Linked DNA regions of Arabidopsis thaliana. The protein of the gene in region 1 purifies or fractionates together with the protein of each later gene. This does not show direct contact. Each region holds a gene or a part of one and is shown on either strand. Other genes may lie near its edges. The genes, in order: NOL and CAB2.

What was found.
Region 2: the proteins of NOL (region 1) and CAB2 purify together in Arabidopsis thaliana (affinity purification with western blotting, with the first as the bait; one study listed by BioGRID). This does not show direct contact.

What each region holds. Positions count from the first base shown.
Region 1 is NC_003076.8:1,433,027-1,438,190, forward strand, and holds NOL (NYC1-like protein), read left to right. Parts: upstream 1-1,747; 5' UTR 1,748-1,799; coding exon 1,800-2,067; intron 2,068-2,186; coding exon 2,187-2,255; intron 2,256-2,386; coding exon 2,387-2,445; intron 2,446-2,541; coding exon 2,542-2,628; intron 2,629-2,766; coding exon 2,767-2,834; intron 2,835-2,921; coding exon 2,922-2,970; intron 2,971-3,057; coding exon 3,058-3,143; intron 3,144-3,249; coding exon 3,250-3,307; intron 3,308-3,392; coding exon 3,393-3,443; intron 3,444-3,631; coding exon 3,632-3,682; intron 3,683-3,757; coding exon 3,758-3,799; intron 3,800-3,896; coding exon 3,897-4,007; intron 4,008-4,120; coding exon 4,121-4,168; 3' UTR 4,169-4,469; downstream 4,470-5,164. Other genes in the region: ABO6 (DEA(D/H)-box RNA helicase family protein), read left to right, coding at 15-323, 415-474, 573-725, 820-930, 1,011-1,490; AT5G04910 (DNA repair REX1-B protein), read left to right, coding at 4,669-4,868, 5,106-5,164. UniProt on the Arabidopsis thaliana protein: Required for chlorophyll b degradation. Chlorophyll b, chlorophyllide b, pheophorbide b and pheophytin b can be used as substrates. Belongs to the chlorophyll catabolic enzymes (CCEs).
Region 2 is NC_003070.9:10,474,155-10,478,128, forward strand, and holds CAB2 (chlorophyll A/B-binding protein 2), read right to left. Parts: upstream 1,816-3,974; 5' UTR 1,739-1,815; coding exon 935-1,738; 3' UTR 502-934; downstream 1-501. Other genes in the region: CAB1 (chlorophyll A/B binding protein 1), read left to right, coding at 3,917-3,974.

The DNA.
Region 1 (5,164 bases):
TTGTTTTATTTTAGTTAGCTTTATCAGCCAAGTTGAGATTCTCAGCCAAAGACTACAGTGACCATATGGCACTCGTTCGTGCCTTTGAAGGGTGGAAAGATGCTGAAAGAGAAGGATCGGCTTATGAGTTTTGTTGGAGGAATTTCCTGTCAGCTCAGACGCTTCAGGCGATACATTCTCTGAGGAAGCAGTTCAACTATATTTTGAAAGAAGCTGGCTTAGTTCATGATGATTTAGCTCTCAACAACAAGCTAAGTCACAACCAGTCTCTGGTTCGTGCTGTCATTTGCTCTGGCCTATTCCCTGGAATAGCATCTGTTGTGGTAAGTCTAAGACCCATGTCTCTGGCTAAGTCTCCTTTCTCGTGTCAGAGATTTCGGTGAAATAACCTTGTTGTCCTTTTTCTTTGCACAGCACAGAGAGACTTCCATGTCATTCAAGACAATGGATGATGGCCAAGTATCACTATACGCGGTGAGCCTCTTCATTCGTATTTCCCAACATCATTACTTGAGTCTCTCGATATGGCCATCTTTTTTATTTAAATGGTTTTTACGGTTTCTATGTTTCAGAATTCTGTTAATTCGCGGTTCCCAACAATTCCATACCCTTGGCTAGTCTTTGGAGAGAAAGTAAAGGTCAATGCGGTACTCATACGGGACTCCACTGGTGTCCCTGATTCCAGTTTGATCCTTTTTGGTGGTTCATTGAGCACGGGAGTACAGGTGATTTCTCTCATTTTCCTCTTTTTAACCCTTACACTAGTCAGATTATGGAATACTCCGGAATCGAATGGATTGAATGTTGTGTTGTTTCCAGGTGGGACATCTAAAAATGCTTGACGGGTACATTGATTTCTTCATGGATCCAAATTTGGCTGAGTCCTATGTAAAGCTGAAGGAAGAACTCGATAAGCTTCTTCAAAAAAAGGCGAGTTTTTTTCAATTTTAAAAGGAAAAAGTGTTCGTAGTGCAGCACTTTAACACCTTTAGTATCTTTACGATTTGCAGCTTGAAGATCCAAGCATGGACATCCACAAAGAAGGCAAGTACCTCATGCTTGCAGTTCAAGAACTTGTGGCTGGAGACCAATGCGAAGGCAGATTTGTCTTTGGCCGTGACACAAAGAGGCCAAGCCAACCGCAAATAGGAGAGAACAAACACTCCAAAGACGGGACAAACCCGAAGAGTCTCCTTCAGACACTTTTGATGAGAGCTGGACACTCACCTCCAAAGTACAAGACAAAACATCTCAAGACAAACGAATTCAGAGCACTTGTGGAGTTTAAAGGAATGCAGTTCGTTGGGAAGCCTCAGAGGAATAAAACGCTCGCTGAGAAAGATGCTGCTGTTGAGGCCTTAGCTTGGTTGACTCATACCTCTGATAATAGTACTGGCCAACACAATGAGGATGCAGATTCTCCACCTGATGTTACTGATAACATGCTTAAACTCCTTGGAGGACGGCGCAGGCGATCCAAGGGCAAGTAATTGAATCTCTGTAGGTTTTTTCGCAGACAGATTTGGTTTGTGTAACTGTGCTTTGGACGATCTCAAATACCAACCAAAGCAGATAGAGAAATTATACTTCAGTAGTCACTATGTAACTATAGTGTCGTTTTTGGGGCAGAACAATAGTGTAGGGTTATAAACATAAAATCTAGAAACTTTAGGGGCTATGATGTATTTTGAACAATAATTGGGGTTATTATCATCTTATATGCCGCCACGTGGCATTTAACTCTCTCTGAGCTTGCTCGCTTACGCAACTCTCTCTCTCTCTCTCTTTGAGCTTCTGTAATGGCTACTTGGAGTGGTTTCAACGTCTCTTCTTCTCCGTTGCTTAGGCTTCGGTCTTCCTCCGTCTCAAATGTCACTAAGCTTCCGTTTCTCTCTCCTATTTGCCGGCGTCGGTTACTGGCAGAACGCTTTGGTCTCGCAACTGTCGTTGTTACGCGCCAAAACCTCACGGTTACTCCGTCGTCTGCGGCGGTGGAAGCTCGTATCTCAGGGAAAAGAGAACCTATGACGCCTCCGTATAACATATTGATCACTGGCTCAACCAAAGGTTTCATTCACTCTGTCTTTGTCAATTGACTCGAGTTTTTAATCTTCAGAAGGGAAAAAACATATTTTTTTATCTCATTGTGTCTCTAAAGAGTGGTTTTTGATTTATTGATTGTTCAGGTATAGGATATGCATTAGCTAGAGAGTTTCTGAAAGCAGGCGACAATGTTGTGATTTGCTCTAGATCAGGTTAGAACCTGTCCCCATTGTTGTCTTGAACTCCTTTTCTAGAGTTTGTGTGTCTGTAAGGAAACATGCAAGCAAGTAATAGAACCAATCTTCAGTAGAATTTTGCTGTTATGGCTGTTCCTGTCTTGCAGCTGAACGAGTTGAGACTGCTGTTCAGAGTCTTAAGGAAGAATTTGGGGAGCATGTGTGGGTACCGCCTTCTTTTACTGTTCTTTTCCATTCGTGTGGTCTTCCAAGGTTTTTGCTTTATGTGCATTGATATCATGAAACCATTTTCTCTTAGTAGGGAACTAAGTGTGATGTTACGGAAGGGAAGGATGTGAGGGAACTTGTAGCTTATAGTCAGAAGAATCTTAAATACATTGACATTTGGGTACACTCTCAAAACTATGAAGAACGTTCATTTGTTGGTGACATCTGTGTTAATGTTGTTCAGAGTATTTTACTATGTTTTCTTTTCAATTTTGTAACCATAGAAATAGTCTTATAATACCATCTTGAGATGATACAGATAAATAATGCGGGATCTAATGCATATAGCTTTAAACCTTTGGCAGAGGCCTCAGATGAGGATCTTATGTAAGTCTTGTGTTAAGCTTGATCCTTCTCTTCGTTAGTTTCTATGTGATTGGTTTCAGTCATTTACTTTTTGAAATCTTTATGCAGTGAAGTTGTGAAAACCAACACTCTAGGTCTCATGTTATGTTGCCGAGAGGTAGTCAAAGATGTTATAAGGAGATGAATTCAGCGTGTCTTTTGTTATTATCAGTTGGATTTACTGACATGTGTTCATGATTATTAGGCAATGAATATGATGTTGACCCAATCTCGAGGTGGTCATATCTTCAATATTGATGGAGCTGGTTCAGATGGGAGACCAACACCCAGGTTTGCTAGATTCATTAAAGTTTCTTGGGAACATGCTTTAGTAAATCTCCTTTAGGCTCTCTTCTCTGTACTGTCTAATAGCATTTTTTTGATTAACGTTTGACAGATTTGCTGCATATGGTGCAACTAAACGGAGTGTCGTTCACCTGACAAAGTCATTACAGGTAATGCCAGAGTTATATCTGTTGAACTCTTCTTCGTTTTCCCTTCTCCTTATATGACTTCTCTAGTAATTCCTGTCTTTCATAGGCAGAGTTGCAGATGCAAGATGTCAAAAATGTCGTGGTGCATAATCTATCGGTATGAATACAATATATTGCTTCATTTCATTTTTGGTTGTTTTTAGTGTCTTCCTAAATACACTGATACAGACATGCGCATAGAGATGAATAGAATGGATGGATTATAGTTATTTGAACAATTTGAATGAATTCAGGATCTAAACATGATCATAATTCTAATGTGTTTTCTCTGGATTATTGTTGCAGCCTGGAATGGTCACAACTGATCTGCTCATGTCCGGAGCAACTACAAAACAAGTTCGATGACTTAACACTGAGGAAATATTTAGATTCCATTTCAAGAGATTCTCTCTAATACGTTCTCTATTGCAGGCCAAGTTCTTCATTAATGTTTTGGCAGAGCCAGCCGAAGTGGTAAGAACCCATTAACTCTTAATTCTTTTTAGCACAACAATTTGACACGATCTCTAATCTCTAGCCCCATGATTCATGATCACACATTCGTTTGCAGGTGGCTGAGTACCTTGTCCCAAACATAAGGGCAATACCGGCTAGCGGATCTATGAAGCCGACTTACATCCGTTTCCTAACTGGAATCAAAGCCTACACCAAAATATTCTCAGTTAAGACGATTAATAGCTCTGCGTAGAAGTAAATCAAAGCATGTAAACTATTTCTGCAAATTACTTAACCAATTTGTTTTTTTCTTTGTCAAATTTTGGGAATTTGTTTCAGAGAGTTGCGTTGGGAGCAAGGAAGAACAGGTATGTTACTGAAGAGTAGGTGTCAAACTAAGTATTAGAATTGTATTGCTTTCTCAGTTTGTTCAATGGTAAATAAAAACCTCTACATTTTGTTCATGACAACTCCAAAACATGCAATCTATTGTACAATTTGGATTTAAGCTCATTTGCAAAAATGTGAGATTTCTCAGTTAATGATTGAAGTGATGATTTAAAAGTCAGTTTTTTTTTTCCAACCATAATAATTTATAGGCACTATTTTGAGAATCAGACCAGATTTGTCGAGACTGGGATCCAAATGCCTGTGGTCTAGTTTACAATTTAACAAGCAGCAAAAATGTCATTCCAAACCAATCAAACCGGGTAAAACCGAAGAACCGCCTCAACCGGACTTGATATCAAAGCGATTAAAATCAAATTACGGTTCAATTTAGTAAAATCGACTAAACCGGTTAGTTCGCAACTTTCTCTTTGCTTCTTCGTCTCTCTCTCTCTGTCGTGTTTGAGAAGACGAAAAGAGTCGGAGAGAAAGATCGGACGATGAGTGCCGAAGATTTCCAGAAGAAGGTTTCCCTCAGAGATTCCCTCTCCGGCGATATTGAGAACGAATGCGGCGGTTCCGGTGTCGGGTCTACTAGTTCGACGGTGGGCTCCGGCGTCGCCTCTCAAACCCTGGTCCTGCTTCGGAGTCTGTTGGAGATTCAGCAGCGCCGAGCTCAGGCTTACGCCAATCTCAAAAGGTTCGATTGATTCATTGGAAATCTCTCAAAGAGTTAGTTTATTTGTTGCGGTTTTGTTAAGTTCCAATTGATCCATTGCCTGAGAGTTAGACTTTGTTGGTGAATGTTGAAATTGAGGCAAATAGTGTGAAGGATAGAGAGGGAGATGTTTTTTATATTCGTAGATTTCCATGTTTTTGTTACTGAGATCTTCCTCTATTAATCTGAGCTGACTATGTTTTCGAATTCAATTATCAGTGGATTCTCAGAGTATGTGGAGTCTGGTGCTGAAGCACTTTATCAGAAGCTGTGCAGCG
Region 2 (3,974 bases), on another chromosome or scaffold:
ACAAAACACAATTTTATTTTTACAATCACTAATTGCCCTCACACATGAATTCACCCACTCTTTGGAACGCAATTTCTAAGCTTTGGGGTGAAAATGAATAAACCTAGCTATATTCATGTTCTCCTGTTCTATTCTCTTGTTCTTTCGATACCACACACCAATGACACAGGCGCTAGCTCTTCTATGCTCCAAACATATATGTTATCATGTGTTCACCAATTATAGCTAGTGTGACAAGCGAACCTGGTCCACAGAGGATGTCACGGAAGGCAATCTCTCGCACGACAATGGATTTTAACTAATATGTAAGATATATGATCAGTCCATTCAATGCGTGGATGTGATTTTAATATGGTATCAGAGCAATGTGATATATTGTTATCCAGATATCGTATGAGCCAATGTTACGAGCTTCAGAATCAACCAAACACGGAAGAAACTACTTCATTATCTATTCTCTAATTCTCTCAATCAGAAGAAAAAAAACGATTGCAATTTCTTCTTCAATGCGATCATATTTTGTGAAGAGACGATATACAAGTTAAATCAAGGGAATATAAAAAACTTATATAAAAGACTCTTTCGTGTTGTTCAAGCTAACATCCGAGAATCACATTTTCTCTTGATTTGAAAAGAACATAATCTTTGTACCCATTGCCTTAATATGTTCAATCACGTTGCTCGATTGTAGAAATAGCCTCTACAACGGAGTGAACCCAAGAACTGAAAATCCAATTCAATTATAGTTCTACGAAACATATTTAGAGAACAATGAGTTATTTGATTAATGACAAATCATACAAAGTCTTTGCAAATTTACATCTGAAAGTCTCTACCATCCACCACAAACACAAACCTACTCTTTCTCCTCCTGTCTCTCACTCGAATTCAAAAGATTGAAAGAAAAGTAAATTACAAACAGATAGAACTTGGCTCACTTTCCGGGAACAAAGTTGGTGGCAAAGGCCCAAGCGTTGTTGTTGACTGGATCGGCCAAATGGTCAGCAAGGTTCTCTATCGGTCCCTTACCAGTGACGATGGCTTGAACGAAGAATCCAAACATAGAGAACATAGCCAATCTTCCGTTCTTGAGCTCCTTTACCTTCAACTCAGCGAAGGCCTCTGGGTCGGTAGCCAAACCCAATGGGTCGAAACTGCCACCGGGGTAAAGCAAGTCCTCGGCCTCTCCCAATGGCCCATTTCCTGCGACTCTGTAACCTTCAACGGCTCCCATCAAAATAACTTGTGTGGCCCAAATGGCCAAAATGCTCTGAGCGTGAACCAAGCTAGGGTTTCCCAAGTAATCGAGCCCTCCATCGCTGAAGATCTGTGAACCAGCCTTGAACCAAACTGCCTCTCCAAACTTGACTCCGTTCCTGGCCAAAAGCTCAGGGAAGACGCAGCCTAGGGCTCCGAGCATGGCCCACCTGCTGTGGATAACTTCTAGCTCACGGTTCCTTGCGAATGTCTCGGGGTCAGCGGATAGACCAGCTGTGTCCCATCCGTAGTCTCCAGGGAACTCTCCGGTAAGGTAGCTGGGTGACTCGCCAGAGAATGGACCCAAGTACTTGACTCGGTCGGATCCGTACCATGGGCTGCCTGATGGACCCTTTGGCTTGGCAACAGTCTTCCTCATTGTCACACGGCCGCTTCCAAGGACTTCTGATGCCGCAGGGGAAAGGTTCACAGCCTTTCCGGCGAAAGCAGGGGAGGAGAGAGCCATTGTTGAGGCGGCCATTGAAACTTTTTTGTGTTTTTTTTTTTTTTATGACTAACTTGTGAGTGAGAGTGATTAAAACTGGTTCGATAGTGTTGGATTATATAGGGATATTGTAACGTTTGTTATATCTGAAGTAATCTTTATCTGTTCATTCATTGGATTTTAAGATTTTTGTTTTATCGTTTAGTAGTCTTACGTGGCAATCTCTAGTCCACCAGCATTTGTTTTGATTTTTTCATTGCAGCCAAGCGTTTTGTGACCACAAGTTATGAGCCACTGAATACTTCAACGGTTACACTTACTTACACCCTCGTGACAAGAATGATTTTTGCTACAACCCAATAACTAAAACTTAAAGTATAACATTTTGAAAATATAGATTCTGATGATCGAAACATTAATATAAAGTAACATTATAAAAAGCATTTACCCACACATAAATATCAATATTTTCAATGGTAATTAGTTCATCATCACTACCAGTTTAATTTCAATTATGAATCGATTTCATCGTCACTTTATCCAATAACCAAAATAATCTCATGAATTATGTGATATCACCTTAAAACTTTGACGTTTTACTCTTTATCGAAGAAACACAACGATTAATGAAACACTGTTTTAACTTATCGACCATTTCTAAGAACATGAAAGAACTATATTAATTCATATGGCATGTTCATCATCATGGGTTTAGACTTTAGAGAACATATAGCTACTTTTTTTCTTATCATGATTCAAGTTATCTTTATTGTAAACTTCAACAACCTTTTGAACAAACTTATTTATTCGCTTTTTCCGAATTCATCAACAAATTACTCCTCAATCACACTCCTATAGAAAACGGTTTAAGCTATCATTACATGTCTAGTTGGTTTTACTCAGCCCTAGAAGTGTTGTTTATTGCATCACTTTCCACGAAGCACAATTTTTCTTTTTTACAATCACTAGACCTCACAGGCTCACACATATGCTTTAGAGCACATTCTAAACTTTGAACTATAAAAGCTGTTAACACTAATACACTATGCGTTCTTTTTTGCTCCAAACACTTTTGATCCATTATTAGGAGACACTCCACTTAGAAAGATTTTCTAATCCTTTGGTCAACTAGGAAGTTCAAGGTTTTTCTAAACAGAAATTCATTTCACAAGTAATTTAATTTATAAGGAAATGAATAGAGAAATCAAATCATTGAAGAACTACAAAATATAGATTCAAGGTCAGGTCTAAGAAAATATTCCTGAAGCTCAAAAAAGAGTTTTCCTCTCACATTATAGAATTGGCCTTTACTTCAACATTTTCCCACCTATTCCACATTTGGTCAGAACATTTTTAATTACTTGTGGATCAATTTCCGGTTGAAATGGGTTTGGTGAATATCCGGTTCAGTTATATGGTGGCCGTTGGAATTGGCTTATTAGTTGTGGCCGTTGTTGAAGCCGTTGGTATTGGTAAGGGAGAAGCAGACTTGTGGCTATGAGTCTATGACCATGACTCGTGATTATGGAGCTGTCTTATGACCCTGACCATCACCTTGATCTGGTGGATTCCAATGTTTTCTTCTTCTTCTAATAAAATATTATGGTCAATACAGGTGCTAATTAAGATGGTAATAATTTCTTATGTTTCTGTGGTAAAGTTTGATTCAATTCCGTAGTTTTAGATAATCTTATTTCCATACATAAATTTTATAGTTTTATCTACTTTGTTCTTATGTTTTATCTCTAGCCAAGAGTTATTATTATTATCAGAAGAAGAAAAAAAAAAGAAGCATATATACAAAAGGTTTAATAAAATGTATTATACAAGGCAATTATCCAAATTTTTTTTGTTTTGGTTTACATTGATGCTCTCAGGATTTCATAAGGATAGAGAGATCTATTCGTATACGTGTCACGTCATGAGTGGGTGTTTCGCCAATCCATGAAACGCACCTAGATATCTAAAACACATATCAATTGCGAATCTGCGAAGTGCGAGCCATTAACCACGTAAGCAAACAAACAATCTAAACCCCAAAAAAAATCTATGACTAGCCAATAGCAACCTCAGAGATTGATATTTCAAGATAAGACAGTATTTAGATTTCTGTATTATATATAGCGAAAATCGCATCAATACCAAACCACCCATTTCTTGGCTTACAACAACAAATCTTAAACGTTTTACTTTGTGCTGCACTACTCAACCTCAATGGCCGCCTCAACAATGGCTCTCTCCTCCCCTGCCTTCGCCGGTAAGGCCGTCAAGC